Saccharomyces cerevisiae S288C: one gene and its partner. The gene in region 2 interacts genetically with the main gene of each other region. Each region holds a gene or a part of one and is shown on either strand. Other genes may lie near its edges.

Evidence for each region.
Region 1: mutations in ICE2 (region 2) and PSD2 together harm fitness more than expected from each alone (negative genetic interaction), as found in Saccharomyces cerevisiae (4 studies listed by BioGRID).

What each region holds. Positions count from the first base shown.
Region 1 is NC_001139.9:835,434-839,193, forward strand, and holds the start of PSD2 (phosphatidylserine decarboxylase 2), read left to right. Parts: upstream 1-1,708; coding exon 1,709-3,760. Other genes in the region: pseudouridine synthase PUS6, read right to left, coding at 1-470; LSO2 (Lso2p), read right to left, coding at 954-1,232. UniProt on the Saccharomyces cerevisiae protein: Catalyzes the formation of phosphatidylethanolamine (PtdEtn) from phosphatidylserine (PtdSer). Plays a central role in phospholipid metabolism and in the interorganelle trafficking of phosphatidylserine.
Region 2 is NC_001141.2:191,657-195,416, forward strand, and holds ICE2 (Ice2p), read left to right. Parts: upstream 1-1,938; coding exon 1,939-3,414; downstream 3,415-3,760. Other genes in the region: rRNA-binding ribosome biosynthesis protein UTP25, read right to left, coding at 1-1,539.

The DNA.
Region 1 (3,760 bases), on a different chromosome or scaffold from region 2:
TGTAACTTCAGTAATTCAGTAATTGTGTTCTGGTAAAACTGACCGGTTGGATGCACTGGTATACCACTGGGTTTATCAATGACGAGGATACTCTCATCTTCAAAAACAATATTGAATCCCGCTATTCTGCCAGGTAAATCCTCCGCTTCAACTTCCTGGCTACACCATTGTTTTACCGGCGGTTCGTGCTTATGCGTAGTTGTTTCTAAAACATCATGATTCTTGATTATGGTAGTCATGAGATGATCTGGTACCAGCGGCACACCATCTCGGATCAACCTATATGTGCCTTTCCTTATTTGGTCCAAATAATAAGCTCTTGGGCGAAGTTTAAATTCACTAACGAGAACGTCTATTAGTAACTTACCCAACCAGCGCCCCTTCACGAACGCTGATCTTCTGTTATAATAGGGCCGTACCTTTCTCAGTCCATTCTGTGTATATACCTCAATAACTTTGATAGTTGACATACTTGACAATCATCCTTTTGCCCACTGATTGTCTCGAGCAATCGTCAATAAAGTTTTCACAAGAAACATTTATTTGCCTTTTAATGAAAGAAAAAAAGTAAATTTTTCATTAACTTTTATCATTGTTATCAATCTTCTTGTATGACAGCAAGCTATATATACATACATATGCAAATCTAATGTACATAATTTCAACTATTCATACCATTAGTACCATAAAGTCATTCTTTTTACTGTAAACTACACTTGCATTATCCTTCCTCGTCCCTCTTTATTCTTATAACGTTGAACAGTGATTTCTTACCATGTGTATTTTTGTACTCAACCCGCAAAAGATAAGCATCCTCATACAGAAGTATTATTATTACCACTGTTACTTTTATTGTCGTTATTTGTCTTGCGTTTTTATGTTTATGGAGATAAAGTGGGAATGACTTTATCATATGCAATTATTAGCCGCTATAAGGCTAAGATTCTTCAAATTTATTTCATTTTTCTTTTACCCTTGCCACCCTTGCCCAGTTGCTCCTCCTCTGCGGTTAGCAACGCATCGCGCTCCTTTTTAGCTCTTGCTTTTTCTTGTCTTTTTTGCTCTTCCTCTAATTTTTTGGCATTCTCTTTCCTCGAACCTTGTTCCCATTTAGAAGCTTCCTCCGCTTCTAGCTGCTCCATTTGTGCTCTTTGTTTAGCATGTGCCTGATCTCTTTTTCTTGCTAAGCCAGCTGCTTTCTTTGCGGCGGATTCTGAAAATCTTTTACCCATCTTTTTACTTCCTCTTTGCTATTCTATTATTTCCTGTATAGGCAGGTTTTGTGCTCAATTGATAAATTCTTTTACCTATTAAATATAAACTTGAGTTTCAACTTATTCAGCTTTATTTTAAACATTATACAAGTTTTTCATTTTGAGGGGTCTTTAACTGGAAAAAAAAAGCTTTCACGACTCAAAGAAAAAAAAAAAAATTTTTTTAGGGTAAAAAAAAACTAAGGGCTAATATGAAAAATACAAAGGTTATGTTACTTTAAAATGAGGTTTGGAAGAAGGAGAAAGACAAAAAAGCAGGGCACATGTCAAACTCTTGGAAACTTGAGATCCTAGCCCTAACGCATGTGCTACTTCAAGGAATTCTTCTTATATATGACAACTATTCCAATTTGATGCTAAAACTAGCCCAAAGTGGTTGATGCTGTATCAATTGGTAAAGAATCCTCGATTTTCAGGAGCATCCAACGACGAAGATGAGGATTATTAAGGGCAGAAAGCGAGGCAAGAACAAGAAGCCAACGCTAATTTTAAAAATTCATGTCATTCAAGCTGAAAATATTGAAGCCTTGAAGACATTCAATTGTAACCCGGTATGTTTTGTTACCACTAATACATTTTATAGTCAAAAGACGAACAAGCTCAAGAACTCAAATACACACTGGAATCAAACCTTGAGGATCAAACTTCCGAGAAATCCAACATCTGAATGGTTAAGGATTATAGTATACGACGCCCTACCAACCGGAGCTCCCCCTACTACCCCCAGTAGACCAAGGACAACCACTGCAAATACATCTTCATCGACACTGTCAAATTCAGGGCTAAGTTCTCACTCTCATTCGTCGAGAAATTTGAATGTTACGTCCAAAGGTAATCAAACTTCAACATCAATTAATTCAGTATCATCTTCAGCTACACCGGCCCCTTCACATTCTTCCTCTTCTCTCTCAACAACAGGTCCCGGGTCCACACACAAAAATAGGATTAATAGCTATCTATATTTGGGTGAAGCAAAAATTTCATTACTGGATTTATTCAAGAGGAAGGACACCACGACGAGCTATAAATTTTCAATTGAAGCTCAGCGGTACCATCTATACGATATGAAAGGAGGGAAAGACCAAGATTCCTTGAACTGCAACTTTCTAGTGGGCGATATTTTGCTTGGATTTAAGCTAGAATGTAACGTTAAAAGAACCCCGACTTTTCAGGCTTTCAATGCTTGGAGAAATGAGTTGAACACTTACTTGGGCAGAATAGATAGAAATAAGGCCCGCATGAGATCTTCTAGTTCTTTGCCACCTCCACTAGAAGATATGTTGAGCAATAGTTCAGCTGTTAGTGGAAATGAAATACGACGCGAGAAACCATATAGCGATACTGATCTAGCCCACGATGAAGAGGTCAATGCCGAGGATGAAATAGATGCTGAGGAATCTATTGAAGATATGAATAGCAGCGGCAGCATTTGTACGGAGAGGAGGTACGATATAGACAATGATACTATATTCGACTCTATATCTGAGGTTGTTTCGCTAAATGATGAAGAACTAGATATTCTAAATGATTTTGAAGAAGCAGATCATCCAAATGTGCCAGACATAAATGTGCATGACATCGACGAAGATACCCGTATCAGTCTATCTTCAATGATAACAGCTTTAGATGAATATGATATCGTAGAACCAGAAGATGTTGCAAAATTACCTGCAGTGTCGGAAAATGACATAACATCAGTGGATGACGAAGAATCTGAAAACCAACAGGAAAGTGATGAGGAGTTTGATATATATAATGAGGATGAGCGTGAAGATTCTGATTTTCAATCAAAAGAATACATTGGGAGTCGGCTTTTACACCTGCAAAGGGGTAAACATAATAAATCATATGCAAATTACTTATACAGAAGAGCAAAAAGTAACTTTTTTATATCGAAAAAGGAACATGCGATGGGGGTAGTATTTATGCATATTGGGGCTATCAAAAATTTACCTGCATTAAGGAATCGGTTGTCCAAGACTAATTATGAAATGGATCCATTTATCGTTATTTCGTTTGGTAGAAGAGTATTCAAGACATCTTGGAGAAAACATACTTTAAACCCAGAATTTAATGAATATGCCGCTTTCGAAGTTTTTCCCCATGAAACGAATTTTGCTTTCAGTATCAAAGTTGTTGATAAAGACTCATTTTCATTCAATGATGACGTTGCAAAATGCGAACTGGCTTGGTTTGATATGCTGCAACAGCAACAACATGAAAACGAATGGATACCTTATGAGATACCATTGGATCTCACTGTTGAGCCAGCACATGCTCCTAAGCAACCGGTATTATATTCGAGCTTCAAATATGTTTCATATCCGTTCTTAAAAAAGAGCTTTTGGAAAGAAGCTGTTGACACATCAGTCAACTTAGAGAGACTCGACATTATTCAAGTAATGCTCTATCTTGAACGTCTTGGTTCATTCACGATGGCCGATTCTTTTGAACTCTTTCAGCATTTCAATAAATCTGCTTGGGCC
Region 2 (3,760 bases):
TGCCATGTTACGGCATCTACCATTGATTAATGAATTAGCCGCTGGCGAGATGTATTTTGTGAATACCATTGTCTGTCTGAAGAGCTTAGCTTGTTCATTAATGTACCACATCCGAATTCTGCTAAAGTCAGCTTCATGTTGTTGATCCGGGATTTTGTTAAGATGGTCAAAGATGGTGAAAATATGAGATATGTTCTGGTATTCTATTGAATGTAATTGATCAATCACCATCAACTCTATTGAGGACAAAAAATCGTCCTGCCTCTTTTTTTTATCTGTATTTTCTAAGATCATTTGAATACCCAATGGCGAACATACAATAATGTCAGACTGGTAAAAATTGCTATAAAGTTTTATAGCCTTTCTTGTGAATTTGAGACCGACAACAAAAAAATCGTTGGTGTTCCCCCTAAATATGTGTTGGAAAGATTTTGGTTTGGACTTTGGAGGTAAGGAGTCGTCACGGAATTGGTCGTAGAACTTTCCCTTCTTGTCAACCTGATCTATACCAGATTTTGAAATTATCTTATCTACAACGCGGTACGCCACCTCTCTAGTAGGGACTACAATTAACACTTTTGGTCTTGTAAAACCTTGATCTAGGTGTTCAGTGTCTGGGTTATCCTGTAATCTTTGATTATTTTTCAAGATTCTATCTCTTGTCTTGTAGATGTGATTCAAAACATGCAAAGCATATAAATCTCTGTACTCGTCTTCGTCCTTTTCGTAGGAGTCATACTCGTATAATATGTCTTTATACTGAAACATGGGGTCTACTAATTTTTTTTGCAAAGCAGTCAATGGATCAGTTTTTTTATCCAATAGTCCATTTTGCACTTTTAGCCTTTGTTTCAAAAAGTATGAATATATAGATGATGACCTGTACGGACTTTCCACCAATGCTTCCTCACCAATTACTACCGGTTTAGCATATATATATGATTCACTGTCACTTAGTGAGCCCTTTACGGATTTGTATTTTACACTTTTGGTCTTGAAAGCATTCGACAACTTATCAACGAATTTCTCCGGAACTTGGTTGAAATGAGACTCGAAAGGATCTTGCTCATCTTCACTGTCTATATCTTTTTCGTCTCCACTGCTGTCATCGTCGTTATCATCCTCGTGATTACCCAAAAGGCCATTCTCTATCTCCAATTGATCATCCACTGGTCCATGTTCTGTATTTTCGTGCTCATCCTCCCCAACTTCGGCAGGAGCTTTGTTACTCTCGTCAGCCTCTCGCCTTCTTCTTTTTGGCTCTGGATGTTCAGATTTGAGAATCGTCAATAAAGCGTCATAAACTTTTTCCTTTTTACCCTCTTCATCCTCAATATCGAAATCATCGCCACTGTCGACATCGGACACTTCATCCTCATCGGATCTATGGTCAATATCTTCTGCTACGTCCTCTAATGTTTCTGTGCTTCCGCCTTCAGTTCTGGCAGAAGATCTTTTAATCTTCCTCAGTTCTTGTCTTCCTCTTTTCCGATAGCCACGGAAATTATCATTCTTTTCCCTCACAGAACTGTCACTCATTACAATTTGGTCACTTCGCAATTATACCACCGTCTCACTGAACCAATGCAGTTTATTCCCTGTATTATATTATTGCAAAATATGCGATGAGCTAAATTATAGTAGTATTGCGAAGGAAAAATTTTTCAGATCATGGTACACGAGGAATCGCATCAGCTTGAAGCGAAGCAAGGGACTGGAGCGGTTACTGGTTTCGGAGAGATGATTGATGAGAAGATGAACATAGGTAAAGGATCGAGGTGTAGTGATACTGGAAGGGCTGTGCGTAAAGTGTTGGTGGATCTTATAGTATTCGTGAAGCTTCTTTTTCCGTTTTGCTCCCCTCAGCCCATCGCGTAATTGCTTAGATCTATTAGAGAGGTGCTGTTTGTGGCCGATCACGCTAAAGATTAGGCAACGATGACCAGTTTGTCCAAAAGCTTCATGCAGAGTGGACGAATCTGCGCAGCATGTTTCTATCTGTTATTCACACTACTTTCAATTCCAATCTCGTTTAAAGTTGGTGGTTTGGAATGCGGGCTTTCCTTCACGGTGACACTGTTCACTTTATATTTCATAACTACGACTCTTAACGTGTTGGCAAGACGACATGGAGGAAGACTATACATTTTTTTTACCAACTGTCTGTATTACTCACAACATTTTATCATTGCATCTTTGCTATACCTGTTTTTGTCTGGATTTTCTAATGATGAGTTGGGAAACGTTCTGAAAAATAAATATAATGAGTCGGAGTCGTTCCTGGAAGCTTTGAAAAATAGCTTGAATTCCAATCAAATTAACTACGTCTTATATTATTACTACTATCGATTTGTTGTACAACCGTGGCAATTCGTGCTTACCAAGTCCACACCTTTTTTTACTCTATCGGAAGGTTTTTTCACTATTTTAGCCATTCAGGCCGTCGGGGAAACTAATAGATGGTTATCAAATGACTTGAATTCAAACACGTGGATTATTTCCTCATTGTTAACCTCCGGAGGTGTGATTACCGCATCGCTGTACTATTTGTATCGGATTTATGTCACCCCCATATGGCCGTTATCCATCCAAACGGCGTCCTTATTAGGACTTGTTTTGTCTATGGTATGTGGACTGGGGTTGTATGGTATTGTGAGTCAAAAAGGATCCGTCATAGAGAGCTCTTTATTTTTTGCGTATATTGTTCGTTGTATTTATGAAATTTCCCCCAAATTAGCTACTACCGCGACTGATGAAATTTTAAATTTGTTCAAAGACGTCTGGCAGAAACATCAAAGAAATCTGCCCACAGCTGACAATCTTTTGTGCTACTTTCATAATGTCATATTGAAAAATGCAGAGGTGTTATGGGGGTCCTTTATTCCTAGAGGAAGAAAGAAAACCGGTGATTTTCATGATAAACTCATTAGCATTCTATCATTCGAAAAAGTATCCTTGATATCTAAACCATTTTGGAAATTTTTCAAGAATTTCACCTTTAGTGTTCCGCTATCCATTAATGAATTTTGTCAAGTTACAATTAAGATGGCAAGCGAATCAGTTTCCCCAGCTATAGTAATCAATTTATGCTTTAGAGTTCTGATGTTTTACTCGGCAACGAGGATTATTCCAGCATTACAAAGAAAAAATGACAAACAGTTGCGCAAGAGTCGCAGGATCATGAAGGGATTGTATTGGTACAGTCCTTGCATATTAATTGCTATGTATACTCACCTGATTTTACAATATTCAGGTGAGCTAAAGAAAGACCTGTGCATATGGGGTTGCAGTGAAAAGTGGTTTGGCGTAGATCAACCAGAAATTATAGTAGATTCATGGGGATTTTGGAACTGGTGCAACATTTTCTGTACTATTTTGGTATACGCTACAGAATTAATAGGTTCTGGTAGTTGAAGCTGATGCATTGTCAAAAGAGCCGCATTACCAGCTTTGCCAAATACGCGAAGACAAAAAGGAAGGTGAAATACCAACTGACTTATAACTAAGTGATAGATGATATCTGTTTTAAGTGCCATTCCTGAACCATTTTTACATTTGGTTAGTTTCTTTTTTTGTTATTATTTGCATTAGTCCCTTGCACGTTCATAGTGAAAATCCCTTACGCTCACCACTATTTTCTAATAAATACAATGAACATTTTAACTCATACTCTAATATGTAGACACATAAATATATAAATATATAACATTTCCCTGAAATACTACTTTTATTACGTGGTAGATTTTAACCTGAAGCCGAT